4 linked regions of the Anolis sagrei genome follow. The protein of the gene in region 3 interacts with the protein of the main gene of each other region in a pairwise test. Links are inferred from orthologs where the notes say so. Each region holds a gene or a part of one and is shown on either strand. Other genes may lie near its edges. The genes, in order: TOX4; CXH1orf94; TBX6; heat shock transcription factor, Y-linked-like.

Evidence for each region.
Region 1: the proteins of TBX6 (region 3) and TOX4 interact in binary tests that used the Homo sapiens proteins (3 or more experiments, as listed by UniProt). The link is inferred for Anolis sagrei from reciprocal best matches to the Homo sapiens genes TBX6 and TOX4.
Region 2: the proteins of TBX6 (region 3) and CXH1orf94 interact in binary tests that used the Homo sapiens proteins (3 or more experiments, as listed by UniProt). The link is inferred for Anolis sagrei from reciprocal best matches to the Homo sapiens genes TBX6 and C1orf94.
Region 4: the proteins of TBX6 (region 3) and heat shock transcription factor, Y-linked-like interact in binary tests that used the Homo sapiens proteins (3 or more experiments, as listed by UniProt). The link is inferred for Anolis sagrei from reciprocal best matches to the Homo sapiens genes TBX6 and HSFY1.

What each region holds. Positions count from the first base shown.
Region 1 is NC_090026.1:10,955,386-10,963,305, forward strand, and holds the start of TOX4 (TOX high mobility group box family member 4), read right to left. Parts: upstream 3,004-7,920; 5' UTR 2,859-3,003; coding exon 2,853-2,858; intron 1-2,852. Other genes in the region: RAB2B (ras-related protein Rab-2B), read left to right, coding at 3,609-3,654. UniProt on the Homo sapiens protein: Transcription factor that modulates cell fate reprogramming from the somatic state to the pluripotent and neuronal fate. In liver, controls the expression of hormone-regulated gluconeogenic genes such as G6PC1 and PCK1.
Region 2 is NC_090034.1:68,093,643-68,101,422, forward strand, and holds the start of CXH1orf94 (uncharacterized protein C1orf94 homolog), read left to right. Parts: upstream 1-4,767; coding exon 4,768-5,045; intron 5,046-7,780.
Region 3 is NC_090026.1:17,496,542-17,503,583, reverse strand, and holds the start of TBX6 (T-box transcription factor TBX6), read left to right. Parts: upstream 1-4,032; coding exon 4,033-4,156; intron 4,157-6,260; coding exon 6,261-6,489; intron 6,490-7,042. UniProt on the Homo sapiens protein: T-box transcription factor that plays an essential role in the determination of the fate of axial stem cells: neural vs mesodermal. Acts in part by down-regulating, a specific enhancer (N1) of SOX2, to inhibit neural development.
Region 4 is NC_090030.1:36,551,584-36,559,231, reverse strand, and holds the start of heat shock transcription factor, Y-linked-like, read left to right. Parts: upstream 1-4,648; 5' UTR 4,649-4,896; coding exon 4,897-5,445; intron 5,446-7,648. Other genes in the region: TMEM185A (transmembrane protein 185A), read left to right, coding at 1,690-1,934.

The sequences.
Region 1 (7,920 bases), about 6.5 Mb from region 3:
AATTTGCCTGTGCATGCTCTATCTGTACTGAGCCCCATTGGATTTTGTGTTCTGTGTTCTGGTTCTCCAAAGTACCTTATTATGTATAGATATAAATTCCCCAGGTGGCACAGTGGGTTAAACCGCTGAGCTGCTGAACTTGCTTACCAAAAGGTTGCAGGTTTAAATCTGGGGAGTGGCAAGAGTTCCCGCTGTTAGGCCCAGCTTCTGCCAACCCAGCAGATCAAAACCATGCAAATATGAGTAGATCAATTAGTACCGCTCTTGCGGAAAGGTAGAGCTTTTTCAATCTATTCTCCAATGTTGTGGAACTCATTGCCTCCATATGTTAGAGCAATGTCGGAGTTGGGACCTTTTGTAAAAGCACCCAAGACTTGGCTGTTTGGTTGTGCATTTAAGTAATCAGATCAAATTTGCCAAATAGTCACTGCTAAAGGTTTTTATGTTGAATGTTTTATATTGTGAAATGCTATTTTAAATTGTAAGTCGCTTGGAGCACCTTGGTGGAGAGCGACTAATTAAGAAATAAAATGAAGTGAAGCAAAGAAGTGAAGTAACGGCGATCCATGCAGTCATGCTGGCCACATGACCTTGGAGGTGTCTACGGACAACACCAGCTGTTCGGCTAAAAATTGGAGATGAGCACCAACAACCAAGAGTCGGACACGACTAGACTTAAATGTCAAGGGAAACCTTTACCTTTACCATATGAACCTGTTTCCAAGGAAGATGAGAAGTAATCAAGATGAAGTGAGGAACTCGGATCCCTACATGGCAGGGGAAAACCTTTACCTTATGAATTCCCAAGTCCATAAGATATGTATGTATGCATATTTACGATTTATCGATCTATGAAATTCCAAATACTTCTGGTCCCATGCATTCATTCAGACAGGGCGAATCCAGTGGGGAGGAATAAAGGTTGACTATCCCTTGTCAAGGCCTTTGACTGTGTGGATCATAATAAATTGTGGCAAGCTCTTGGTGGGATGGGCATCCCAAGCCACCTTGTCTCTCTCCTGAGGAATCTGTACAAGGACCAAGTAGCAACAGTAAGAACTGACCACGGAACAACAGACTGGTTCAAGATTGGGAAAGGCGTACGGCAAGGCTGCATACTCTCACCCAACCTATTGAACTTGTATGCAGAACACATCATGCGAGGATGTGCGGGGCTTGATGAATGCAAAGCTGGGGTGAAAATTGCTGGAAGAAACATTAACAACCTCAGATATGCAGATGACACCACTCTGATGGCCAAAAGCGAGGAGGAGCTGAGGAGCCTTCTAATCAAGGTGAAAGAAGAAAGTGCAAAAGCTGGGTTGCAGCTAAACATCAAAAAAACCAAGATTATGGCAGCAAGAATGATTGACAACTGGAAAATAGAGGGAGAAAATGTGGAGGCCGTGACAGACTTTGTATTTCTAGGTGCAAATATTACTGCAGATGCAGACTGTGGCCAGGAAATCAGAAGACGCTTACTTCTTGGGAGGAGAGCAATGTCCAGTCTCGATAAAATAGTAAAGAGTAGAGACATCACACTGGCAACAAAGATCCGCCTAGTCAAAGCCATGGTATTCCCTGTAGAAACCTACGGATGTGAGAGCTGGACCTTAGGGAAGGCTGAGCGAAGGAAGATAGATGCTTTAGAGCTGTGGTGCTGGAGGAAAGTTCTGAGAGTGCCTTGGACTGCGAGAAGATCCAACCAGTCCATCCTCCAGGAAATAAAGCCCGACTGCTCATTGGAGGAAAGGATACTAGAGACAAAGTTGAAGTACTTTGGCCACATCATGAGGAGACAGCAAAGCCTAGAGAAGACAATTATGCTGGGGAAAGTGGAAGGCAAAAGGAAGAGGGGCCAACCAAGGGCAAGATGGATGGATGGCATCCTTGAAGTGACTGGACTGACCTTGAAGGAGCTGGGGGTGGTGACAGCCGACAGGGAGCTCTGGCGTGGGCTGGTCCAGGAGGTCACGAAGAGTCGGAGACGACTGAACGAATGAACAACAACATCCCTTGTCTGAAATGTTAGGGACCAGAAGTAAATTCCAAATACATCCTTGTAGATTTCAATGGCTTCTCTGTGTAGTCTGACATGGTGGTTGTTGGAGTGGTCCAGCATTTCTGTGTTCTCAAATAATATGCTGTGTCCAGGCTGGTTCATCAGGTGCTCTGCTATGGCTGATTTCTCTGGTTGAAATAGTCTGCAGTGCCTTCCATGTTCCTTGATTCCAGCAGAGAAGAGCTCTTTGCCCCACCCCAGTCATTCCACAGATATATTAACCCATTTTCCTAATTCCAACAGACCTCACTATCTCTGAGGATGCTTGCCATAGACGCAGGCGAAACATCAGGAGAAAATGCCTCTAGAACATGGCCATATAGCCCGGAAAAACCCACAATAACCTAAAGATGAAAAGTAATCAAGATGAACTGAGGAATCCTGATCCCTTACATGTCGGGGGAAAGCCTTATGAATTCCCAAGTCCGTAAGATATGTATGTATGCATATTTACGATTTATCGATCTATGAAATTCCAAATACTTCTGGTCCCATGCATTCATTCAGACAGGGCGAATCCAGTGGGGAGGAATAAAGGTTGACTATCCCTTGTCTGAAATGTTAGGGACTAGAAGTAAATTCCAAATACATTTCAGACAAGGGATAGTCAACCTGTATTCGTCCTCACTGGATTCGCCCTGTCTGAATGAATGGATGAATGCGTGGGGCTTCCACCCATGCTGGTTTCAAGGAAGAGGAGTCCATAGGAGTGCATAGGTGGAGGCAGTAACGAGACAGACACTCAAACGGCCCCTGGGAGGCCCTCTCCCCTTCCCCGAGGCCCCCTCACCTCCATGGCCGCGGCGAAGGAAGCTCCAGAGCAGGGAGAGCGGGGAGACCCCGCTCGACTCTCTCTCCCCCTCCTCCTCCCCCTCCAGTGCCTCTCCCGGAAACGGAAGCCTCTTCCGCCTCTTCCGCCCACCCAAACGAAGGCCGGCAGGGAACGTCACTTCCGCCCGACGTTTTGCACACGGCCCTTTCCTGTGGCGGCCTTAACTCTTCCTTCCCTGCGGTGAGAGGAGGGAGGCCGTGTTTCCCTGCGGGAGTCGCGGCCTCGCTCTGCCTTCCTCACTCGTTCGGACCGTTAAGGCGACTGAGGGAGAAAGGGAGGCCGGAGGGCCGCGCGCGCTGCCATTCTCAGGCAGGAGAGCGCTTTCGGCATTTCCCGGATGTGACGTCAAAGAGTCTAAGTAACGGCTTCGAGGCTGGAGCTCGGCGTTCCCTTTCCCCTCTCCCCCCGGATGTGACGCAATAGAGCAGCCAGTCCGAAGAAGACCAAAGGAGTGGGCGGAGTCAACACAAGGAGGAATAGAGGCGGCCCAGAAGAGATGCCCTAGAGTGCCGCCGGAAGTCCACCAGGGGCTGCCGTCATGAAGGAGAAGGCACCGGAAAGGGAAGAAGCCAAGCGCCGGGAAGGAAGAGGGCGGGTCAGAGCCACGGCTTTGAAATAGGAAGCGCGAGAGGAGTAGGCAGAGTTCCCGTGGCGTGAGCGAAAGCGGCCCGTGGAGGCCCCCTCCCGCCTCGTTCTCAGGGGCTCCCGGCAGCCATGGCCTACGCCTACCTGTTCAAATACATCGTCATCGGGGACTCGGGTATGGGAGGGGCGGAGGGCCTGCTTAAGCGGCTGAGGGGGGAAAGGAAAGGGCCCGAGGCTGTTAGGAATGGTGGGAGTTGAAGTCCAAAACACCCCAAGGGCCCAAGGTAATAGTATGATAGCTGGGTCCGGAAGCTCCGAGCATTACGTATCGGGAGTGCTGTTTGCACAAGAGAGACTTACCTAATGTAAGCCATGCCGGAGACAAATATAGAAGGGATGTAAGAGTTCTTTAATGGTGAAACCCTTACTCTGAACCATACAGTAAGCCTAACCTGTTACCCAAACCTTAACCTGTATCCTGAGCCTAACACCTTACCCTAACCTGTACCCTAAGCCTAACTCTAAACTTTACCCTAACCTGTACCCTAAGCCTAACCCCTTACCTAAACCCTAAACTTTACCCTAACCTGTACCCTAAGCCTAACCCCTTACCCAAACCCTAAACTTTACCCTAACCTGTACCCTAAGCCTAACCCCTTACCCTAAGCCTGACCTTACGAAAACCCAATCCCTAAACCATACCCTAACTAACCCAAACCATTACCCTAAGCGTCCCCTTCTTTCTATCCTTCCTTCGCTCTCCCCACCCCCCTTCCTTTATTCACAACCACCTTTGCGACATCTCCGTAACGCTCGGTGCTTCCGGACCCAGCTATCATACTACCACCAGTTCTTTAATGGTGAAACCCTAACCCAGAACCATACAGTAAACCTAATCCCTTATCCAAACCCTTTCCTTAGCCTAAACCTTACCCTAACATGAAACCAAACACAAAACCGTACCCTAATCATAATCCCAAACCAGCATTGCAGCATTCTCTCTCCACCCCCCCCCCCCCTTCCCTTATTCACAATCGCCTTTGCTGCATCTCCGTAACGCTCGGAGCTTCCGGACCCAGCTATCATACCATCACCTGTTCTTTAATGGTGAAACCCTAACCCTGAACCGTATGGTAAGCCTAAGCCTAATCCCTTACCCAAAGCCTTACCATAGCCTAAACCTAACCCAAACCCTAAACCGTACCCTAATCATAACCCTAAATCTTGCCCTAACCCTTACACTAAGCATCCCCTCCTTTCTATCCTTACTTTGCATTCCCCGCTCTCACTCCGCCTCCTCTCTTCCCTTATTCACAGCCCTCTTTGCAGCATCTCCATAACGCTTGGAGCTTCCAGACCCAGCTATCATACTATCACCAGTTCTTTAATGGTGAAACCCTAACCATACCATAAGCCTAAGCCTAACCCCTTACTCAAACCCTTACCCTAACCCTAAACCTTACCCTAACCGTAACCCAAACCCTAAATCTTTCCCTAACCCTTACACTAAACGTCCCCTCCTTTCCATCCTTCCTTTGCTCTCCCCGCTCTCACTCTGCCCCCTCTCTTCCCTTATTCACAGCTGCCTTTGCAGGAGCTCAGAGCTTCCAGACCCAGCTATCATAATATCACAGGGCCCAAGTTGACCCATGCCTGTTTTAGAAGGATTTGGCCTTCGCAAGTTTTTTTTTTAAATGCTTCATCACAAAGTTCATATCTCCCCCCCCCCCCCCCACACACACACACACACTGCTTCAACTTTTTTATTTTCTGATATTTAGTTACAGTAAACCAGGCCTGCATAGCCTGTGGCCTTTCGGCTGTTTTGGACTTCAGTAGAAATAATACTTGATTTATCACCCGCCTTATCTCTCCTGGGGGACTCAGGGTGGTTTCTAATAAAAGAGGCAAACGTTCAGTGCCAACAGAGAATCAGAATCACAGAGTTGGAAGAGACCTCCTGGGACATCCAGTCCAGCCCCTTGCCAAAAAGCAGGACAGTCACGTTCAAAGCACTCCCAACCCATCCAGCCTCTGTTTAAAATCCTCCAAAGATGGAGCTTCCACCACACTTTGGGGTAGAGATTTCCACTGCTGAACAGCTCTCACAGTTAGTTTCCTGTAGTTTGAAGCCATTGCTCCACGTCCTAGTCTTCAGGGCAGCAGAAAAAAAGCTTTCTCCCTCCTCCCTATGACTTCCCCTCACATATTTATACATGGCTATCTCCTCTCAGTCTTCTCTTCTTCAGGCTAAAACATGCCTAGCTCTTTAAGCCACTCCTCATAGGGCTTGTTCTCCAGACCCTTGATCATTTTAGTCGCCCTTCTCTGGACACATTCCAGCTTGTCAATATCTCTCTTCAATTGTGGTGCCCAGAATTAGACACAGTATTTGAGATGTGGTCTAACCAAGGCAGAATAGAGGGGTAGCATGACTTCCCTGGATCTAGTCACTATGCTCCTATTGATGCAGGCCAAAATCTCATTGGCTTTTTTTGCCGCCGCATGACGTTGTTGGCTCATGTTTAACTTGCTGTCCATGAGGACTCCAAGATCTTTTTCAACAACACACAAACAGATAAACAAAAGAATCGCAATATAAAACTTATAATAGCTAATCCAAACGAACAAACATTATCAAAATTAAATGACTTAAATAAACTAAATATGATACCTCATAAACATTTACCACATATGTCGAAGGCTTTCATGGCTGGAATCACTGGGTTGCTGTGAGTTTTCCTGGCTCTATGGCCATATTCCAGAAGCATTCTTTCCTGACATTTCGCTCACATCTATGGCAGGCATCCTCAGAGGTTGTTGAGTTTCCAGCAGACCTCAGAACCTCTGAGGATGCCTTCCATAGATGTGGGTGAAACATCAGGAGAGAATGCTTCTGGAACATGGCCATAGTACAGCCCAGAAAACACAGAAACCCATCTTCACATAATTAAACTAGCAGCTAAAAAGCATTTAAATATGAATTGACTTTCGACAACCAACAGGACTGTATGATTCCAGTATGTAGACCAGGATATGTATAAATGTGCACTTCACCTCCCAGAATTCCTGATCATTGGACACTCTGGGCTTCTAAGAGGTGGAGTCCCAAATGCCTGAAGAGCCCTAGAATCATAGAATCAAAGAGTTGGAAGAGACCTCATGGGCCATCCAGTCCAACCCCATTCTGCCAAGAAGCAGGAATATTGCATTCAAATCACCCCTGACAGATGGCCATCCAGCCTCTGTTTAAAAACTTCCAAAGAAGGAGCCTCCACCACACTCCAAGGCAGAGAGTTCCACTGCTGAACGGCTCTCACAGTCAGGAAGTTCTTCCTCATGTTCAGATGGAATCTCCTCTTGGTTGTGCAGGCCTGCAGTAAACTTTTTACTTCCATATATCAGAGAGGAAATAATAAGAAAGAGGTTGAAGTTTTCTGTTCAAAGCACCTTTTCACTCATAAGAAACATTCAAACATCTGTTCAAAAGCACAAAAAGAAATCGCACTGTTCACAATTAATCAAACCCAAAATGTAATATATGAGCAGTTAACAGAATCAGAATGTAAAGAGACCCCAAGGGTCACCCAGTCTACACCTATTCTGCCAGGTGGGAAACACCATCAAAGCCCTCTTGACAAATGGCCATCTACCTCCAGAGAAGGTGACTCCACCACACTCTCAGGCAGCAGGATATTCCACTGCCAAACAGCTCTTCCTGCCAGGAAGTTCTTCCTAAGGTTTAGGTGGGATCTCTTTTCCTGTAATTTGAAGCCATTGCTCCATTGTGTCCTAGTTTATAGACCAGCAGAAAACAAACCTGCCCTGAGGAGAGGGGAGATGTCACCTCTTTTCAAGGTGACCTACTTTCAGATGTTTAAACATGGCTGTCGTGTTTCCTCTTGGCCTTCTTTCCTCCCAAGTTAAACATGCTTAGCTTCCAAACTTTTGGACACTTTGGTTCTTCAGGTTATAATCTTTCTGCCTATATTACGGTTTGTGTGGGTCTAAGTGGTGGACTCAATCAAATTTGCTCCTGATTTGAGCATTTACATGTTAATGTGAAAATCCATATAAAGATGTGGCTTCATTCTGCCCTTTAAAAAAATCCACTCACAATATTGAGATATTGGGACAGTTCTAACACTCCTTGCTATTTTCTACATTGGCTAAAAATGCTGATAATCATAGTTCAACAACATCATAGAATAATAGAGTTGGAGAAGACCACATGGGCCATCTAGTCCAACCCCCCTTCCATGCAGGAAAAACAATCAAAGTATCCCTGACAGATGGCCATCCAGCCCCTGTTGAAAGCTGGTGGCAGAAGTCCACTCTTGCTTTAAACCACTGGTGTCAAACCTGTGGCCCTCCATGTGTTTTGGACCTCAACTCCCTCAATTCCTGATCATTGGATAAGCTGGCCAGAGCTTCTGGGAGT
Region 2 (7,780 bases), on a different chromosome or scaffold from region 3:
TAGTCTGTTCTTCCCCAAACCTCACCAGAATATTGAGTTGGCCATGGGGGCTCTCTGTGCCAAGTTTGGTCTTTATTGGTATTTGGATGAGTGTCGCTGTGGTTTCAGGAAGTGAGTGAAAGTACTGCAAGTCCCATCATCCATAGTCCGTTCTCCCCCAGACCTCACCAGAATATTGAGTTGGTCATGGAGGCTCTCTGTGCCAAGTTTGGTCTTTATTGGTATTTGGATGAGTGTCGCTGTGGTTTCAGGAAGTGAGTGAAGGTACTGCAAGTCCCATCATCCATAGTCTGTTCTCCCCCAAACCTCACCAGAATATTGAGTTGGTCATGGGGGCTCTCTGTGCCAAGTTTGGTCTTTATTGGTATTTGGATGAGTGTCACTGTGGTTTCAGGAAGTGACTGAAGGTACTGCAAGTCCCATCATCCATCGTCTGTCCTCCTTCAAACAGCAAATGGGCAACATATATGAAATGGGTTGAAGAAGGCAAAGCCAGCACAGATATTGTGCAAAGATTTCAAAAGTTGCCTTCATCTAAGCCATTAAAAGAGATGTTTCCTCAATGGTTAAGGTAAGGCAGAAGTGATGGGCTTTATAGAGGAAGGTGAATGGGAGCTGCACATGAATCAAGCATCACTGTGTGACTGGAGACCCAGCAAGCAACTAAATGTTAACATCAGAAATTGTATGTTTGAACTCATTTCAAGCTGTGCCTTCTCTTCATGCTGGCTTGTGACCCCTGGAGCTAATTCAATCCTCAGGCAAAAAAAAAAAGACACCAAAGAAAGCGATACAAACAAACAAACAAACAAGCACCTCCCCTCTTTGCCGTTTCATCCACAAAAGCTGCTGCCTTGAGAGGGTTATTCGATCTTGGGGTTTACTCTCGTATTTTCGTATTTCTGCTGCCGCAGATTAACTAAACATCGTGATCCCCTCAGGAGGTTTTGTATTATTTAAGCACTCACACAACCTATTTAACCTGAGGCAACAGTAGAATGAAAGAAAACCAAGGGGCAAAAAGAGACAACTTTTTTTCTCCTCCCTCTCTATTTGCAGACTGTTTTCCAGTTATGCTCTGCTTTTAAAAATTGCCACACAGAGAAAGATACGCAAAGAAACCTCTTGTTACATCTGCAAATAAAAAAAAGGAAAAAGAGAAGGTTTCCAATAAAATGGGATCTCTGAGCTGGAGGGGGTCACAAGGACCATGTTATTCAGTGGTTCTCAACCTTCCTAATGCCGTGACCCCTTAATACAGTTCCTCATGTTGTGGTGATGCCCAACCATAACATTATTTTCGTTGCGACCAGGGACGGCTCAGCCATTACGCAAAGTAAGCATTCGCAGTATAGTTGATTTTGCCCGGGGGCGCTCTTGAGGCGCTCTTGGGAGAAAATAGACCTTGACATAAGGAAGTTTTACTTACTGGGATGTATAAAAAGGTAAAGATAAAGGTAGTCCCCTGACATTAAGTCCAGTCATGTCTGACTCTGGGGTGTGGTGCTCATCTCCATTTCTAAGCCAAAGAGCCAGCGTTGTCCGTAGACACCTCCAAGGTCATGTGGCAGGCATGACTGCATGGAGCGCCGTTACCTTCCCGCCAGAGCGGTATCTATTGATCTACTCACATTTGCATGTTTTCGATAGTTCACCTAAAACCAAAGAGCATTCTAAACTCCACCAATGATGGAATTGAACCAAATATGGCACACAGAACTCCCATGACGAACAGAAAATATATATCAATGATTGGCTGGGGGGAGAGCACCAAAATACTGTTTGCTTACTGTTGAAAATTACCTAGGGCCGCCTCTGGTTGCGACTTCATAACTATAATTTTGCTACTGTTATGAATCGCACTGTAAATATCTGATATGAGATGTTCATTCACTGGACCAAATTTGGAATAAATATCCAATACACCCAAATCTGAATACTGGTAGGATTGGAGTGGATTGATTTTGTCATTTGGGAGTTGTAATTGCTGGGATTTATAGTTCACCTACAATCAAAGAGCATTTGAACTCCACCAACAATGGAATTGAACTAACCTTGGCTCTCTGAACTCCCATGACCAGCAGAAAATACTGGAAGGGTTTGGCGGACAGTGACCTTGAGTTTGGGAGATGTAGTTCACCTATATCCAGAATGCACCATGGATTTGAAAATGATAGATCTGGACCAAATTTGGCATGGATACTCAATATGCCCAGATGTTAACACTGGTTGAGTTTGGGGAAAATAGATCTCAACATTTGGGAGTTGTAGTTGCTGGGATTTATAGTTCACCTACACTCAAAGAGCATTCTGAACTACATCCAGAGAGCACTGTGGACTCAAACAATGTTGGATCTGGACCAAAATTTGCACAGATACTCAATATGCCCAAATTGAACACTGGTGGATTTTGTGTAACTAGACTTTGACATTTGGGACTTGTAGTATTATTTATTTATTTATTCATTTACTTTGCTTATATACCGCTGTTCTCAGCCCGGGGGCGACTCACAGCGGTGTACAACATAGAAGAACAAAGTTCAAATTCAAGACATAATATAAAATCCACATCCAGCATTAAACAAGAACATCATCATCAAAAACATCATCATTACTACGAAAGCCATTCCGCGTCGTCTCATCGTCCAAACCACAATCCAGTATCATTTCCATTGTTCCAATCCTATAGTCATTACCAATCATTGCACTTCTTGTTCGAATGCCTTTTTGAACAACCAAGTCTTTAATTTCCTGCGGAATATCATCAGGGAAGGAGCCAGTCTGATGTCCACGGGAAGGGTGTTCCACAGTCGAGGAGCCACCACCGAGAAGGCCCTATCTCTCGTCCCCGCCAGCCGTGCCTGTGAAGCAGGCGGGATCGAGAGCAGGGCCTCCCCGGAAGATCTCAAAGTCCTGGTGGGCTCGTAGGTCAAGATGCGGTCGGATAGGTATCCTGGGCCGGAACCATTTAGGGCTTTATAGGCCAACGCCAGCACCTTGAATTGAGCCCGGTAGCAAATCGGCAGCCAGTGGAGCTGGTACAACAAGGGGGTTGTATGCTCCCTGCGTCCTGCTCCTGTTAGTATCATGGCTGCCGCACGTTGGACCAATTGAAGCTTCCGGGCCGTCTTCAATGGCAATCCCACGTAGAGAGCGTTGCAGTAGTCTAAACGGGATGTAACCAGAGCATGGACTACCGTGGCCAAGTCAGATTTCCCAAGGTACGGGCGCAGCTGGCCTAGTAGCTCAGATTTATAGTTCACCTTCAATCCAAGAACATTCTGAACCCCACCAATGATAGAACTGGGCCAAATTTCCCACACAGAATCTCCATGACTAACAGAAAATACTTTGTTTTCTGATGATCTTTAGTGACCCCTCTCACCCCCCACCCCCACGATCCCCCTCCCTGGTTCCCAAACCCCCAGGTTGAGAAACGTTGATGTAGTTCAACCCTTTGTGAGGTAGAAATGGACAACTATAGCATTCCTCAAAGATGCCCATTCCACCTCTGTATTAAGACCTCCAAAGATGGAGAGTCTACCACTGTCAAGAATGCTGAACAACAAAGACCTTGTCCTCCTTTTCTCAAGCTGATACATCTGGAACACATCACATTGCCATCAGAAACATTCTTTTCCTTTTTGCTAACTCTTGTGTGTATAAACATACAGAGTTGTGAGGCCAGAAACACCCCGTGTCCTAGGATCTCCACTATCAGACAGCTCTTCCAATCAAGACATTCTCAATGTTTCTCAACTTCCTTTCTTTTATTTTCAATGTATTGGTTCATGTTCTAGGCACCAAAGAGGCAGAAAAACAAGCTCACTCCATCTTCTACATGACATCCCATTGGATACTTAAAGATTGCTTTCCTATCATCTCTCCATTTTCTCTTGTCCAAGTGAAGCACACCCAACTCCCTATGTTGGAGGCACCACCCAACTTTCTCTTCTTCTAACCAGACCAGAGACGGTCCTTTGGTTTCAGGTTTTGATCATAGATTTTGGAGCATAGGATATTCTTGACTTAAAAACTCTGTATTTTTATATACACAAGAGCCAAGAAAGAAAGAAAGAAAGAAAGAAAGAAAGAAAGAAAGAAAGAAAGAAATGCTTCTGATGGCAACACCTTTCCATGTATAGGAGCCCTAGGTGGTACAGTGGGTTAAACCCCTGTGCTGGCAGGACTGAAGACCAACAGGCCGCAGGTTCGAATCCGGGGAGAGTGCGGATGAGCTCCCTCTGTCAACTCCAGCTCCTCATGTGGGGACATGAGAGAAGCCTCCCACAAGGATGGTAAAAAACATTAAAAAAATTCCAGGCATCACCTAGGCAACGTCCTTGCAGACAGCCAATTCTTTCACACCAGAAGTGACTTGCAGTTTCTCAAGTCGCTCCTGACATGACAAAAAAAATATCTTTCCAGGTGATGTGTTCCAGATATGCCAGTTGGAGGAAGGAGAGCAAGATCTTTCTCCCTCAGTGTCCTTCAGAGCAAGCAAAGTCTCCCCTTCCGTCTACTGCTGTTGAAGTTTGATGATCTATTACAGTTTTTATTCTTTATGTCAGTTAAGTTACCATGTCGCAAGGGTTCTATGGTTACTTAGCTACCAGAGTTTGTTTCCATATGCTCCATTCTGTACCATCTTTTTTTAAAAAAAGAAAGAAAATAAGGCAAGCAACATAAGTATCTCAGGAAGGTGTGTGGACACCCTTCCTGTTTGTTTATTCAATTTTCATTCTAGCCATTAGTGGGCAAGATACGATGCTGTCAAGTAGGAGCAGCCTTCAGTGTTCAACAACCAACCCCAAGGGCAGTTTTCCATTAGGCCCTTTCCCAAGACACATTTGGATCCATCACAATACGCCTCAGGACAGTTTGGATAAAGCTTGCCATGAGATCTGGAAAAGAGTCCAAGGTCTCCCGGAGGAACTCCAACCCAGGTCCTCATCACCACTTCTCCAAGTGAGCTGCCACCCCATTCCATCTTCTGAGGCCCTCCAAGAGGATAACAGTAGTACCAGCAGCAGCTCCCAAAAGGAGTGAGTGCAATGCTTTTAATCTTGTTTGTTTTTGAGTATTTTGAACATGCAAAAAGTATACCTGAATGGTTGGCAATGGAGAAGATGGATCCATAAGAAAGCAGAGGCTGTAGTTTCGTTACTTTAACCTTTATTTATTTATTTATTTATTTATTATTTAAACTTATATGTCGCCACTCCCCTGGGGCTCGGAGCGGCTTACAAGAATAGCTAAAATCTAACAAAGTTTAAAAGCAATTTAAAACAATTTAAAAACAACAGTATCAAACATTAAAAGCCTGTCGGAACAGGTATGTCTTACATGCCCTGCGGAAAGCTGGTAAGTCCCGCAGGGCACGAACTTCGGGTGGCAGAGCATTCCAGAGTGATGGTGCCACTGCTGTGAAGGCTCTGCGTCTGGTTGCCCTTAAACGCAAGGTCTTGACACTGGGGACTTCCAATAGATCTTGGTCCTCAGAACGGAGGGATCTCTGGGGTTGGTAGGGGGTGAGACGATCCTTCAGATACATTGGCCCCAGACCATGCAAGGCCTTAAAGGTGAGTACCATCACTTTGAAAGTGATCCAGTGCTCAATTGGTAACCAATGCAGCTGTAGTAAGATTGGTGTTATGTGGCATCTCATCGGAATTCCCGCAAGAAGCCGAGCAGCTGCGTTTTGTACCAACTTGAGCTTCCGAATCACCGACAGAGGGAGGCCAATGTAGAGGGCATTACAGTAGTCCAGTCTTGAGATGACTGTGGCCTGGATCACCGTAGCTAGGTCGTCCCTGGACAGGTAGGGGGCCAGCCGCCTAGCCTGCCACAGGTGAAAGAAGGCAGTTCTGCTCACGGCGGATACCTGGGCCTCCATTGTCAGCAGAGGGTCCAAAAGGACTCCCAGACTCTTTACCAATGATGACGGGCGTAACGCCTCGCCATCCAGGGTGGGCAGATGGATGTCCCCCCTGCCTGGTCCACCCAGCCATAGGATCTCCGTCTTTGCTGGATTCACCCTCAACCTGCTGGCACGCAGCCATCCAGTAACGGCCTCGAGGCACTGATGGAAATAATCAGGTACAGAGTTCGGTCGGCCTTCCATCTTCAGCACCAGCTGAGTGTCATCGGCATACTGATAACACTCAAGCCCAAAACCTCGAACCAGCTGAGCAAGTGGTCGCATATAGATGTTAAACAACAGAGGGGAGAGAATGCCCCCCTGAGGAACCCCACAAGATAGAGGGGACCTCTCAGAGACCAGGCCTCCCCTCTCCACTCGCTGTCCATGGTTGTGAAGAAAGGAGGACAGCCAGTTTAAAGCTGTCCCCCTGATTCCAGCAACAGCAAGGCGGTGGGTCAAGAGATTGTGGTCGACTGTGTCAAATGCTGCTGTGAGATCCAATAGCACAAGCAGCGCTGACCCGCCCTGGTCAAGCTGGCATCGAAGGTGATCCGTGATGGAGACCAGCATAGTCTCTGTCCCATGCCCCACACGGAAGCCGGATTGGAAGGGATCTAGTCCGGCTGTGTCGCCTAGGAATTGCTGCAACTGCTCCGCTGCTGCCCTCTCAATCACCTTGCCCAGGAATGAGAGATTTGAAACTGGGCGGTAACTGGAGGGAACTGAGGGATCTAAATCTGGTTTCTTCAGCAAAGGAGAGACCACTGCCTCTTTTTAGTGGTCCGGACTCCACATATTGGGAGATAGGTCAATCAATCAATCAATTAATCAAAAATATTTTCACCCTAAAGATAACTCATTCCTCTGGCTCCATCCCACTTAATTACTGTTGGAGAATGGTTGCCTTCAAGTCACTTCTGATCAAAAAAGATCATCTTCATCCATCTAGATTCCATGACAATATTAACTTGAAGGCTAGAATACTAAATACATCTATTTATTGATATATTGATACAAGATGTGTGCTGTTTTGCATTCTAGTTGAAAATGTAAGCCCTGAAAATGTAAATAATGGGTTTGAGTAGCATCAAGTATAGCACACAAATCTGTGTGTATTGTAGGATGTGTGTATGTGTGTCATGAATAACTTTTCAATAACTTTAAAGCTTTTTATTGTAATTTCCAGTATGAGAGAGGATATATCAGAACTTTTACAGAACTTTTATACTTTTACACAAAGAATGACATTGGACATACAGATTCTACGCAACTACATTGAATTCACAAACAACCTACAGTTATATTGGCTAACAAGCAAAGAAGAATTAAATTTTTACTCAACATTCACACCACATGTACATGCATCCATCCTCATGAATCCAAATATTATCACATCCTTTTCTCCCTCCTTGGAGAAGCAGCTGCTTAGGCCAGGACCTGCTTCCCTGCAGCCTGTCAACGCACAGTTCCAAAACCTTCATAATGTCAAAATTCTTGTTCAACAGCTACACAAATGACCATCCACTGCCAGAAGGGACAGAGTTTCATCTATGCTGATGATCGTGCCATCACCGCTCAAGCAACATTCACACCTAGTATTGTCGAAGGCTTTCATGGCCGGAATCACTGGGTTGTTGTAGGTTTTTCTGGACTATATGGCCATGTTCTGGAGGCAATCTTTCTCCTGACGTTTCGCCTGCATCTATGGCAAGCATCCTCAGAGGTAGTGAGGTCTGTTGGAAGTAGGAAAAATGGGTTTATATATCCGTGGAATGACCAGGGTGAGACAAAGGACTTTTGTCTGCTGGGGCTAGGTGTGAATGTTTCAGCTGATCACCTTGATTAGCATTCAATGGC
Region 3 (7,042 bases):
CAATCATGCATGAAGAGAAACCTTTCCTATCCTAAGAGATGCATACGGCTTTGCCTTAGGCCAAGATTGATTTTTGTTGCATCCCAAATGCACAAAAAACAAGAGCAACAGGAGAGTTATTTTGAAGTGGATGGAGGACAGAGAGAGAATCATGGAAGAAACCCAAACAGAGATTGCTCCCGTCCTCCACCCCAAGAAGAAAGAGAAAACTATCCCGGCATCCAGTTGCTTCACAGCTATACATATCTGCCTTTAATGTAAATAAGTAGGGGAAATAATGAAAATGGGACCCCTTTCACTGATATTGGAATTTACAGGCATTATGGGAAAATGTGTTGACAACATAGGCAAAGGTTTTCCCTGGACATTAAATCCAGTCGTGTCCAACTCTGGGGGTTGGTGCTCATCTCCATTTCTAAGCCGAAGAGCTGGCATTGTCCATAGACACCTCCAAGGTCATGTGGCCGGCATGACTGCATGGAGCACCGTTACCTTCCCACCAGAGTTCCAGTCCTTATTGATCTACTCAAATTTGCATGTTTTCGAACTGCTAAGTTGACAGAAGCTGGGGCTGACAGCGGGAGCTCATGCTGCTCCCCAGATTTGAACCTGCGACCTTTCAATCAACAAGTTCAGCAGCTCAGTGCTTTAACCCACTGTGCCACCGGCAACATGCTCTAAATATATTTACTCTGCATTTTTAACATAGATCTAAGTAATATAAGACCTCTTCCACACTTCATCTTCATTTAAATTCAGTGTGGAAAACATCTCACCATGTTAAAACAGTGGATGTGGCTCTTAATGAGACATTCTGCATCATCACAGGATGTCTACGGCCCATAACACTGGAGAAATTACACTGTTTAGCTGGTATTGCACCACCTGACATCCACCGGGAAGTAGTCGCCAGCAATGAAAGGACCAAGGCATTGACATCTCTGGCCCATCCTCTGTTTGGATATCAGCCAGCACGTCAATGCCTTACATCAAGAAACAGCACCCTAAGATCTACAGAGACTCTTGCAGAAACACCTCAGCAAGTGAGAGTCCAAAAATGGCAGGTTGAAACCCAGCACCTCAATCAGTGGCTGAGACCAGGTGAGAAACTCCCTCGAAGCACACAGAAGACTGGGTGACCTAAAAGGCACTGAGCAGGCTGCGCTCTGTCAACCTTAAGAAATTGGGCTACAAAGTGGAGTCCACGACATGCGAGTGTGCAGAAGAGCAAACCACAGATCACCTACTATAATGCAACCTAAGCCCTGCTGCATGCACAATGGGGGTCATTCTCACAGCGACACCAGAGGAACTCCAAGTGGTCAGCTTCTAACCAAAAAACATTTAGGATAATGCCAAGTGCTTTATAATTTTGTTTGTGTTTTCAAATGCATTTTACCTGTACCTTCAACTCACTTCTGACACGATAAGTAAATTGAAATTAAGTGGAAGGAGATAAATGTATCCACCTTCCTGCATACCTTTAACCCCACCGCAAGAATACCAAAGATAAGAAGTGAAGATTATGGGTTGGAAGCTCATCCTTGAACCTAAGAATCCAAATTTCTCCTTTTACTGGGCATTCCTCTAAAGCAACACAAGGGGGCGTGCACATACCTTACAATAATGATAAATGGATGAACAGTTAATTGAGACTATATCTACACGCCACATGATGCAGTTTGACTGCATTATGGTCAGTGTAGACCATGTCATGTAGTTCAACACAATTAAATAATATTAAATTTTGGTCTTGTTTTAGCTCCCAATTATATATCTAATTTTCCTTCTATACTGCTCATCAAGTTGTGACAACATATACAGGTTTTTCTTTGATTGCCTGACGAATGTGTACACCTCTATGTACACAGGCATGTAGCCAGGGGGGGGGCTCGGGGGGCTTCAGCCCCCCCCGAAATTCTCACGGTGGTTCGCGAAAAGGCCTTACTGGTGCATTATTTAAACTGTTATGTTTATTAATATCATGATTTGATCACCATTCTCAATATATCCCATATGTATGGGGGTATTGGGGTAATGATACAAAAGGTTTGCTAGGCTAGACCCTCTTTCACTCAGACTCAGCCCCCCCCGAAACTCAGCCCCCCCCCCCGAAACCCCCCCTGAAAATTTTTTAGCCCCCCCCGAAATGAAATCCTAGCTACGGGCCTGTATGTACATACAAGCTATTTCCACCAGTTGCCCACTCCCTAATTACTAACAACTGGTATTCCTTTGGTGATAAGAGATAGAAACAGAATCATAGCGTTGGAAGAGACCTTGTGGGCCATCCAGTCCAACCCCCCTACCAAGAAGCAAGAAAATTGCATTCAAAGCACCACTGACAGATGGCCATCCAGCCTCTGTTTAAAAGCCTCCAAAGAAGGAGTCTCCACCACACTCTGGGGCAGAGAGTTTCACTGCTGAACAGCTCTCACTGTTAGGATGTTCTTCCTAATGTTCAGGTGGTATCTTCTTTTCTGTAGTTTGAAGCCATTGTTCCACATCCTAGTCTCCAGGGCAACAGAAAACAAGCTTGCTCCCTCCTCCCTATGACTTCCCCTCACATATTTATATATAGTCCTCATCATGTCTCATCTCAGCCTTCTCTTCTGCAGGCTAAACATGCCCAGCTCTTTAAGCCGCTCCTCATGGGGCTTGTTCTCCAGACCCTTGATCATGCTGGTTGAAAGCACTGGACATATAATATTCATGCACAAGTGAAAATGACATGGTCTTAGTCCAAAATTCCTCACTTTTTGTTTGCAGAAACCACATTTCTAGCCCTTAGTATCACTGAGATAACATTAAAAGCACATGAAGTATCAAAATGTAGATTTCTACCAATTTTTCTTTGTTATTTTGATTATGAAGCCACTACTTTACACAATTTGATTCCTCGCATAGAGATATTCAATGTAAGGCATGCTGAATTTGACTACGGTTGCACTTCCCATAGCTGGCATCATAGTACTTTCTTGCTATTCTGCTGAAAATAATTATCCAAGAATATGATAATATAACCTCCTGATAGGACTAAATTAGACCAATTGGAATTTTAAATTGTTGTATTATGAGGTTAAAGGGAACCAGGTATCTTCCCAACTGCAAATGTGGCTATAACTCACTAGGCCCCAATCTCCACTCTCAGGATTTGGCAGTCTCTTGCAGCTGTCCTACCCAGCTGTGAAAACATCTGGATGATAAATGACCATGGCACCTCCCCCCATCACCCACTTGTAAAACCAAGGATCCCATAGGTCAGGATCAATCAGGAAACTTTGGAATCAGGGTGTTAATTAGGCAATTAGGAGGATTCAAGTGGTGGGCACAGAAAGAGACTCGGCCGACACTCTTAATGAAGTCTGAGATGGAGTTGGGGAGCCTGGCATAGGGAGGGGGTGGGCTAGGACTGGCATATTTGGATTGGGCTGATATGCAATGTCTTGGATACTGAAGACAACTACTTATGTGAGGGCACTCAGACTAGGGGTGAAATAGGCGGAAGTTGGATGAAATAGAGGGATATTGCTAGAAATAGCTAGAAGGTGAGTAAGGATAGGACATCCTGGGACTGAGAATATATGCTACTCATCTCCTCCAACTCCCCTGCCTTCAGCCCCAAACCCCTCCCCTCTAGAGGTGCGAATGTGCCATTTGGGGTCTCACTTCAAAGAGCTTTAGCGGAATCATAAATACAGCCCCAGTCAGGGGCTCCTCAGGAAGAGAGGGGAGCTCGAGGTGGATGCATCCCAGACTTGCTCACAAGATAGGACCAAGGAAACCCAGCTCCCAGATCTTAACCCAGCAGGCTTTCTTTCCCTATCCCTATTCCAAAAATCATATTCCATTATTCCCCAGGAGCCCATCAGTCTCATTCTTCTAATCCTTAGACCTTTCTCCTTGCCACAGAAGGCAGAAGTCCTAGCTTCCTGTTTTAGCTTGCTTCCCTCACCTGTTCTAATCCAGTAGGGTCCCCAGTCCCTCCAAAAAATCCAAGAGTTCTGGCTCCCAGATTTCCTTCAGCATCCCATGTATCACCCCTCAGAGATGTTCTCACAGTATGGAGGCTCTTACCCTCTGCGGCCTCCCCCACCTCCTGGGACTGGGTATCCTCAGAGTCAGGCACCCCAGTATGAAGCCTTCAGATACCCAGGTGAGAAATTGGGAAGTGGTGGTGGTGGGAGAGCGGGAGGGAAATGAAGAACAGGAACAAGGGAGACAGAGTGAATGGAATGAAGGCAGAAATGTGTATTTTAATGGATATTTTCACCATTGATTGGCCTCAATGACATCTACATAACTATTACGTTGTCTGGTTTAACTTATTTGTGAAAGCAAATGGAGTGTCAGGAAGACAATGTCTGATTTCCTGAGTTCTTTGCAAGAAGGATAAGATAAATGTGTTGTCCAAGGCTTTCATAGCTGAAATCACTGGGTTGTTGTGAGTTTTCCGGGCTGTATGGCCATGTAACAGAAGCATTATCTCCTGACGTTTTACCCACATGCTGGAAACCTCACTTACTTTGTTTCCAACAGACCCCTCAACCTCTGAGGATGCCTGCCACAGATGTGTGTGAAACGTCAGGAGAGAATGCTTCTGGAACATGGCCATACAGCCTGGAAAACTCACAGCAACCCAGGATCAGATAAAAATTGTTACATAATAAAATGGACAAAAGGATGAAATCTAAGATTCCTATGCTATTGGAAATGAGAAAATTGAGAACTGTAACTTCTGGAATTTCTTAGAATCCAGAATGGGCTTTTTTATATTGAGGCATTAAGAAGTGGAAATAATCATCACTTTCTTACAGGATGGAATATAATCCAAAACTTCTAAGGTATTTGTACGTGAAAGGGGAAAGGAATGTTGTCTACTACATAAAAGTAATGGTGTGGACTACAAACTCCAACTCTACAGGCATGAGCAAACGTCAGCCCTCCAGGCATTTGAGACTTCAATTCCAACAATTTGTCAGGAGGGCAGCAGGGTTAAAAAGGAGGGCAGATTTGTCAAGAGAGCATATTGCTACATCCCAATATCTGGATTATTAGAAGTTTTTCTAAACATATATTCCTCATTGCTGCAGTCTACCTTTGTAGCCCTAAGGACTGGAGTTCTGTCCTTTTAATACAGGCATGGGCAAACTTCAGACCTCCAGGTGTTTGAGACTTCAACTCCCACAATTATGTAGAATTTGTTTTGGCCGAAATCCAACCAGGACAGATTCACTTTATGAAATGCCGATTTGCCCATTAACAATGGATGCATTGCGTGTACGTCGGCCAAGGTTAACCAATGGATTTAGGGATTTACTTTCATCAGTCATCAGAAAAGGCAAGGAATCTATGCTGTCTGCTACATCTCAATATCTGGATTAGTAGAAATCTTCTAAACATATATCCCCCATTACTGTGGCCTATCTTTGTAGCCCTAAGGACTGGAGTTCTGTACTTTTACTACTTCATCACACTAGAGAATGAAACCACTTTAAATTTGGTTTCTGCCTCTTGCAGAATTCTGTGGTTTGTAGTTTAGTGAGGAGCCTTTAACAGCCTGACGAAACTACAAACCCCAGAATTCTGCAAGAGGCAGAAACCAGATTTAAAGTGGATTCCTTCTCTAGTGTGATGAGGTCTGTACAGTCATAGGAAAACTTCAGACTTCCAGGTGTTTTAGACTTCAACTCCCACAATTTGTCAGGAGGGTAGTGGGGTTAAAAAAGAGTCCTGGAAGTCAAGACTGCAGGATTGTCAGAGAGGGTTGGATAGGATGGGCTGGTTGATAGCCAGGGGTGATTTAAATTGAGGAGTGGGTGGGGGGTATGAAATGCACATTTGAAAAGGCTAGAGAAAATCCAAATAGAGAGTTGACCAAAAGGATAGATGAGAATACAGTAGTATCCTTGGGAGAGAAACAACCACTGGTTTCCACAAGCTAGTGGGAGGCCAGGACTTGGATAGCAAAAGGGTAAAATGTAGAATTCACATAAATTCCATTGCTTGCTTCGCTAAGGACCACCACCCACATGCCCCCATCAGCTGGAGTTTTAGCACCCAAGGCCAACTGGTCAGGCGAATAGGATAGAGGAAGAGAAAACAGGAGAAAAACAGCAGGAGGGTGACAAATTCCTAGATGATACTCCGTGGTGCTGTCTGTAACCCTCCTCCTTCCTCTGTTCCTTACTACTCAGCCAATACCTCTCAATGCCATTCACTGTTTGTCTGACTTATTGTGTTCTCTTCCTTGCCTTCAGATCTTGATGCTGCCCCGAAGTTGGATAGCTTCTTCCCTGCCTTGGAACCTCCAGGCCGCCTCTTGCCTCCAGGTCCTGCCCACCCTTATGGGTCAGGCCAGGCTCTCCCATCTGGTCCCCCACCAACACCATGTTTACCCCCTGGAATACGGATGAGCTTGGAGAATGGTGAGCTTTGGAAACGTTTCAGTAGCATTGGCACAGAGATGATCATCACCAAAGCAGGCAGGTGAGATGCCAAGCAGCAATAAGAATGAAAATTACTGATCTTAACCTGTCCTCTGGAACCCCTCCTCAATGCCATGTATCAGAAGTATTTGAAGCCAAAGCTTCTGAATTTATGAAGAATGTATTTTCACCCCTCCAATTCATTTGAGGAAAATGAGGCACAACTCTGAGCAAAAATTTAAGAATAGAAACATTAAAAAGACCTGAAACATATCCCTAGAACAGCAGTTCTCAGCCTGTGCGTGTCCCCAGATGTTTTACGCTTCAACTCCCAGATATCATAACAGCTGGTAATCTGGCTGGGATTTCTGGAAGTTGTAAGCCAAAACACCTAGAAACCCACAGGTTGAGAACCACTGACCTAGAAGATAGGGAAATTTAACTTACACCTTTTTTAAAGCTTTATTTCCAACATTTTAGTAAATATCTGCAGTGAAACAGGCAAAGAGAACATAACAATATAATATTTCCTTCCTCCACAAGCTGTTGTGGGGACAAAATAATCTACACATCTTTAATATTCAACAACTCAACATATGCCATTTGTACAGAAA
Region 4 (7,648 bases), on a different chromosome or scaffold from region 3:
CTTCTCTTTACTTCTTTACTTCCCCCCTCTTTCTCTACATCTTCCCCCTTCCTTCGCTCCCTCTTTCCTTCCTTCTTTCCCTTTTTTCTTTCCTTCTCTCCTTCCTTCTCTATCTCTTTCCTTCCTTCCTCCTTCTTCTTTCCCTCCCTCTTTCTCTTCTTTCTTCCTTCTCTACCTCTTTCCTTCCTTCTCTCTGCTTCCATGCTTCCTCCTCCCTTTCCTTCTTTCTTTCCCTCCCTCTTTCCCTACATCTTCCCCCTTCCTTCGCTCCCTCTTTCCTTCCTTCTTTCCCTTTTTTCTTTCCTTCCCTCTTTCTCTCCTTTCTTCCTTCTCCCTTTCCTTCATTCGTTCCTTCCCTCCCTCTTTCTTTTCTTTCTTTCTTTGTTTTTTCCTCCCCTTCCCTCCCTCTTTCTTCCCTTTTTTTGTATTGTCATTTAGCTTTTCGTCATTTAGCTTTTTGGGGCTTTTTAAGTCCCTTCTGCTGTTTTTTTTCAGTGTTTTTATGAGTGAAGGACATACATTGGGTTGTTAGGTGTCTTGTGTCCAAATTTGGTGTCAATTCGTCCAGTGGTTTTTGAGTTCTGTTAATCCCACAAATGAACATTACAGTTTTATTTATATAGATTACTAGCCATCCCCTGCCACGTGTTGCTGTGGCCCACTCTGGTGGTCATGGGGGTTCTGTGTGGGAGGTTTGGCCCAATTCTATCGTCTGGCGGGTTCAGAATGACCTGTGATTGTAGGTGAACTATAAATCCCAACTACAACTACAACTCCCAAATGTCAAGGTCTATTTCCCCCAAACTCCATCTGTGTTTATATTTGGGCATATTGAGTATTCGTGCCAAGTTTGGTCCAGATCCATCATTGTTTGAGTCCACAGTGCTCTCTAGATGTAGGTGAACTACAACTCCAAAACTCAAGGTCAATGCCTACCAAACCCTTCTAGTGTTTTCTGTTGGTCATGGGAGTTCTGTGTGCCAAATTTGGTTCAATTCCATCGTTGGTAGAGTCCAGAATGCTCTTTGATTATAGGTGAACTATAAATCCCAGCAACTACAACTCCCAAATGTCAAGGTTTATTTCCCCCAAACTCCATCTGTGTTTATTTTTGGGCATATTGAGTATTAGTGCTAAGTTTGGTCCAGATCCATCATTGTTTGAGTCCACAGTGCTCACTGGAGATAGGTGATACAATGCCCAAACTCAAGGTCAATGCCCTCCGAACCTTTCCAGTATTTTCTGTTGGTCATGGGAGTCCTGTGTCCCAAGTTTGGTTCCATTCCATTGTTGGTGGAGTCCAGAATGCTCTTTGATTATAGGTGAACTATAAATCCCAGCAACTACAACTCCCAAATGACAAAATCCTAATTTTTTGAGTGATGGTCACTCCTTGTGTTGTGAGACGTTTTGTTGCCAAATTTGGTGGGATTTTGTTTATTGGTTCTTTTGTTTTTAGGGAACTCATTATGCACAGAACATTTATATATATATAGATTAGCATAGCACAAGAGACAAGATGGTGGTGATGGGGGGGGGGGTCCCCAACTGGTGACACATGCAGGAGACAATTGGACGTGTTTTTTCCCTATGTGGGGTTGCAAGGCATTGTGGGGTTGGCCACTTTTTTCTGTGGATTGACACTCTCAATGACCTCCCCCTTTTTCTTGTTTTGGAAACGCGGCGCAGGGTGGTTTGGAATCCGCAAGGACTTCTGCCAATTCCTCCTGGAAATCTTCCCCTTCCTCCGAGAGTACGGCAACATTTCCTACGACCTGCACCACGAAGACAACGACGAGGCGGAAGAGACGCCCATCCCCGAACCTCCCAAAATCGCTCCGATGTTTCGGAAAAAGACGGGGGTGGTTATTACGCAGAGTCCTGGGAAGTACGTCATCCCGCCTCCCAAGCTCAACATCGACATGCCCGACTAAGTGTCCCCTCGGAGGCGCCTGCGTGGACTCTTCCCGTTGTGGAAACGACCGGGAACCAGCGGCCAGCGCGTTTTTATCTCATGCCTTTCTTTTGTTATGAATCGTGGTGTGTGCCTCAGTGGCTTGTAACGTGGAGATCACGGAGATTTGTCTTCAGGTCATTTCTGTTACCATGGCAGGAAAATCAATGAGAAGGCGACATGTAAGCTCAGGCTCAGGCGTGTCAAGGTCCTGATCAGAATTGGTGGAACTTTTGTCCCATGTCACCGTTTCCTTTCTTCTCATCTGTGTCCACAGTTCCATGTGGGCAAGACCGGCTGAAACCAGTGGCCTTCATGCACATGTCACTCTGGACTGGATTTCGGCGGACGAGGAGGGCTCCTCTTTGGGAACCTTGGATTCACGCTTGCCTGTATAGTATTTATATGAACCTTTGGCAATGTAATATATTTTTAAGAGTCTGTACAGTATAAATATGCAAAAGTATTTTTAAAAGGCTGCGTGAAGTGCATCATCGATTGTGAATGACGTGCTTTGTGTTCATCTGTTTCTGTTGGCGTCGCACAGCCATGTGATGTCCCACCCGCATGCTTGCCTTGTCCTCCTCGCACGGAACTAGGAGCGCCGTCTTCGAAACATGTCCGCAGGTAGGACTTGGAAGTTCCTCCCCTCTTAAGGGATCCAATTGCCTGGATAAAGGTATGTAAATTATTGTGTAAACGGCCACATTCTTTGTATTGTCGAGAGGGGAAGGAGGAGGAGGGGATGGTTTCCCACTTTTGTTAAAGTGCAAAACCCTGGGTAATAATACCTGTTTCTCATCCCCCCACTTTTGGCTGTTGAATAAAAAGTATCCTCCTGGAATCCTTGATGAGCCGACCCTTCTTTGTTCCCGAGTACGTCTTGCAATGCTTTCGTTTATTGGGAATATACTTACAATTCATGATGGAGTTTCGCTGGTTGGAATATCTATCTGTTTGGCAGGAAAATGGGAAATGCATTCCCTGTCATCCTTGGGTTCCAAATGACAGTGTTCAAATTCAGTCAAAACACTGTGCCATGCTTGGATCTACAATATATTGGCACAGCACTTACTGAAGTGAAGAAGGAAAACAGGTTGTGCCACAACTCTGGGAGCCCATGAAAAGGTCTCTTCAAAGGCTTTGAAGTTGGGTGTCCATGTTATTTCTCACACTAGCTGGACCTGCCACAGGTTGCTGTGGCCAACCTTCCCTCCCGCTTTCTTTTCTTTCTCTCCTTCCTTCCCTCCTCCTTTCTTTCTTTCTTTCTTTCTTTCCTTCCTTCCTTCCTTCCTTCCTTCCTTCCTTCCTTCCTTCCTTCCTTCCTTCCTTCCTTCCTCTCTCTTTCCTTCCTTTTCTTTTTTTCCCCTTCCTTCCTTCCCTCCTCCTTTCCTTCCTTTTTGTTTTTTCTCCTTCCTTCCCTCCTTCTTTCTTTCCCTTTCTTTGCACTCTACATGGGGCTGCCCTTGAAAACGGACTGGAAATTTCAACTGGTCCAGTGGGAGGTGGCCAGGTTGTTAACTGGTGCTCCTTACAGGGAGCGGTCAACCCTCCTGTTTAAGGAGCTCCATTGGCTGCCATTCATTTTCCGGACCCAATTCAAGGTGCAGGTGCTCACCTACAAATCCCTGAACGGTTTGGGACCCGCCTACCTACGCGACTGCATCTCTGTGTACGAACCCACACGTATCTCTTCGTTCATCTGGAGAGGCTCTACTTACGATCCCACCTCCATCGCAAGCGTGATTGGTGGGGATGAGGGATAGGGCCTTTTCGGTGGTGGCCCCTCGACTCTGGAACTCACTTCCTAAGGACATCAGGCATGCCCCAAGTCGAAAGGAGGAACTTGAAGATGTGGATGTTCCAGTGTGCCTTCCCGGAATAATGATCCCATAGCACTTTGTCCCTCCAAAGCACTTTACATTTTTAGATCTGCTCGTATGTCTTCCACAAACGCCACTATCACCTTTTCGCCCATGTTCCAGCATTATTTCCAATTTTAATTTTACACTTGGCCTTCCCAGTTTTAATTGTATGTTGTCTTATTGGTAATGTTGTATGTTTATTGCCTATGTTTTTATTTTATTTTTAATTGCTTGTACTGTTGTTATTGCTTGTATTGTTGTATTCGGGTACGGCCTCATGTAAGCCACACCAAGTCCCTTGGGGAGAAGGTAGCGGGGTACAAATAAAGATTATTATTATTATTATTATTATTGGCCTAATGTAAGCCGCACCGAGTCCCTTGGGGAGATGGTAAAATAAAGTGTTGTTGTTGTTGTTGTTGTTATTATTATTATTATTATTATTATTGGCCTCATGTAAGCCGCACCGAGTCCCTTGGGGAGATGGTAGTGGGGTACAAATGAAGATTATTATTATTATTATTATTATTATTATTATTATTATTATTATTGGCCTCATGTAAGCTGCACCGAGTCCCTTGGGGAGATGGTAGCGGGGTACAAATAAAGTGTTGTTGTTGTTGTTGTTGTTATTATTATTATTATTGGCCTCATGTAAGCCGCACCGAGTCCCTTGGGGAGATGGTAGCGGGGTACAAATAAAGTGTTATTATTATTACTATTATTAAGACTCATTTCGTAACCAATAACATGAGCAGGATTGGTCACTTCCTCATGCCTCGAGTTCGATTTCAAATGCAATGGGTCTGGACCATTGTTTGAAGAAGCCAATGCTTGACCCTCAGAGCCTCCTTGGTTGAGTGAGGGTGCGCCGAGTGATGTTCCCAGTGATGTTCCCCTCATTATGGCTTCATTTGCTAGGAAACCAGAGTTCGTTTTGTGATGTCACACCGACACAGGATGGGTCTGATTGTGACGTTCTGGAACTCTTGATTGTAGCTCCAGCTCCTGGCAGGCTGTCCTCCTTTTTAGTAGGCCTGATGCTGCCTTCTTGGCAAGGCTGGACTCAGAGCGCCCATGGCTGCAGCTGAGAAGAGCTACCTGAGCGACAAGGGCGACCAGGACCTGGACCTTCCTCCTGGCCAAGCCGAAGAGGACAGGATCCACTCCGCCATCTCCCTTTCCTCGACTCCGCTGCACGACAAGACGGCGGCTGGCGACTCGGCCTTGAGGTCCATGATCGAGGAGAATGCCTTCCAAGCGCTGAGCGACGCTCCCTGGCCAAAGAGACCCCGGCTCTCCCTCTGCGACGACGGCTCTCTCGAGGACAGCGACTTCCTCTCCCTCACCTTCCCCAAAAAGCTCTGGAAGATTGTGGAGAGCGAGCACTTCAAGTCCCTGTGGTGGGACGAGGACGGGACGTGCGTCGTGATCGACGAGGAGCTCTTCAAGAAAGAGGTCCTGGAGAGGAAGGGTCCCCTGCGCATTTTCGAAACGGATTGCATGAAGAGCTTCATCCGACAGCTCAACCTCTACGGCTTCAGCAAGATGAGGCAGAACTTCCAGAGATCGGCCTCCCTTGTGGAATTCTTGGCCGAAGAAAAGGCGGCCTACGCCTTCAGCAAGGTAAGGTCTGGCCGTGGCTTTGGGGACGGACCCCGGGCGCCTCGGGTTCCCCAAGGGCACGTCCACGCGCTCTCTCAAAATATAGATCTCCATCTCCTTCGAGGGCAGAAGAGGACACTCAAAGAGGTTCCGCTCCGAGTAGAAGACAACCCGAATCAATCCAACAAGTTCTGATCCTTCATGCCTACAGCCCCATCCATCCTGTTCCACCAAAACGAGGCCGGCATTTGCAAACAATGTCGAAGGCTTTCATGGCTGGAATCACTGGGTTGTTGTAGGTTGTATATGGCCATGTTCTAGAGGCATTTTCTCCTGACGTTTCGCCTGCATCTATGGCAAGCATCCTCAGAGGTAGTGAGGTCTGTTGGAACGAGGAAAAAGGATTTATATATCTGTGGAATGGTGACCAGGGTGGGACAAAGGACTCTTGTCTGCTGGAGCTAGGGGTGAATGTTTCAACTGACCACCTCGATTAGCATTTGAAGGTCTGGCGGTGCCTGGGGCAATCTTTTCTTGAGAGGTGATTAGATGTCCTTGTTTGTTTCCTCTCTGTAGTTTTGCTATTCTAATTTTAGAGTTTTTTTTAATACTGGGAGCCAGATTTTGTTGAAATTGTCCACATGCTTGTGGATTTCAATGGCTTCTCTGTGTAGTCTGACATGGTGGTTGTTGGTGTGCTCCAGCATTTCTGTGTTCTCCAATAATCTGCTGTGTCCAGGTTGGTTCCTCAGGTGCTCTGCTATGGCTGACTTCTCTGGTTGACGTAGTCTGCAGTGCTTTTCATGTTCCTTGATGTGTATGTTGGGCAATGCTGCTGCGTTTGGTGGTCCCTCTGGAGACTTCTTGTCCACAGCTGCATGGTACATGGTAGACTCCTGCAGAGGTGAGAGGATCCCTCTTGTCCTTTGCTGAACGGAGCATTGGTTGGATGTTCTTGGTGGGTCTGGAGATGGTTTGTAGGTTGTGTTTCCTCATCAGCTTCCCTCTGCGGTCAGTGGTTCCCTTGATGTCTGGCAGGAACACTTTCCCTCTGGGTGGGTCTCTGTCTTGACTCTCGTGGCTTCTTCTCGGTGGCCTTGCAGCTCTTCTGATGTCTGAGGTGGAGTCTCGCTTGGCCTGGAGAGCCCATCTGAGGTGGTTCAGTTCATCTTGGAGGAGGTGGGCTTCACAGATTCTTCTTGGCAGAATCTGCCAAGGCTTTAATGGGGCTTCTTTGTTGACTTGGGTGATGGTTGGAGTTTTTGTGTAGATCTCTATCTGTGTGTGTGGGTTTTCTGTAAACGGTGTGACCCAATTGTTGATCTGGTTTGCGGATGACTAGGACATCTAGAAAAGGCCGTCTTCCTCCATTTTCTTTTTCCATGGTGAACTGGATGTTTGGGTGGATGCTGTTGAGATGGTCCAGGAACCTGTTGAGTTCTTCTTCTCCATGACTCCAAATGGTGAAGGTGTCATCCACATCTCTGAACCATATGTTTGGGTGGATGCTGTTCAGATGGTCCAGGAACCTGTTGAGTTCTTCTTCTCCATGACTCCAAATGGTGAAGGTGTCATCCACATCTCTGAACCATATGTTTGGGTGGATGCTGTTCAGATGGTCCAGGAACCTGTTGAGTTCTTCTTCTCCATGACTCCAAATGGTGAAGGTGTCATCCACATCTCTGAACCATATGTTTGGGTGGATGCTGTTCAGATGGTCCAGGAACCTGTTGAGTTCTTCTTCTCCATGGCTCCAAATGGTGAAGGTGTCATCCACATCTCTGAACCATATGTTTGGGTGGATGCTGTTCAGATGGTCCAGGAACCTGTTGAGTTCTTCTCCTCCATGCCTCCAAATGGTGAAGGTGTCATCCACATCTCTGAACCATATGTTTGGGTGGATGCTGTTCAGATGGTCCAGGAACCTGTTGAGTTCTTCTTCTCCATGGCTCCAAATGGTGAAGGTGTCATCCACATCTCTGAACCATATGTTTGGGTGGATGCTGTTCAGATGGTCCAGGAACCTGTTGAGTTCTTCTTCTCCATGGCTCCAAATGGTGAAGGTGTCATCCACATCTCTGAACCATATGTTTGGGTGGATGCTGTTCAGATGGTCCAGGAACCTGTTGAGTTCTTCTTCTCCATGACTCCAAATGGTGAAGGTGTCATCCACATCTCTGAACCATATGTTTGGGTGGATGCTGTTCAGATGGTCCAGGAACCT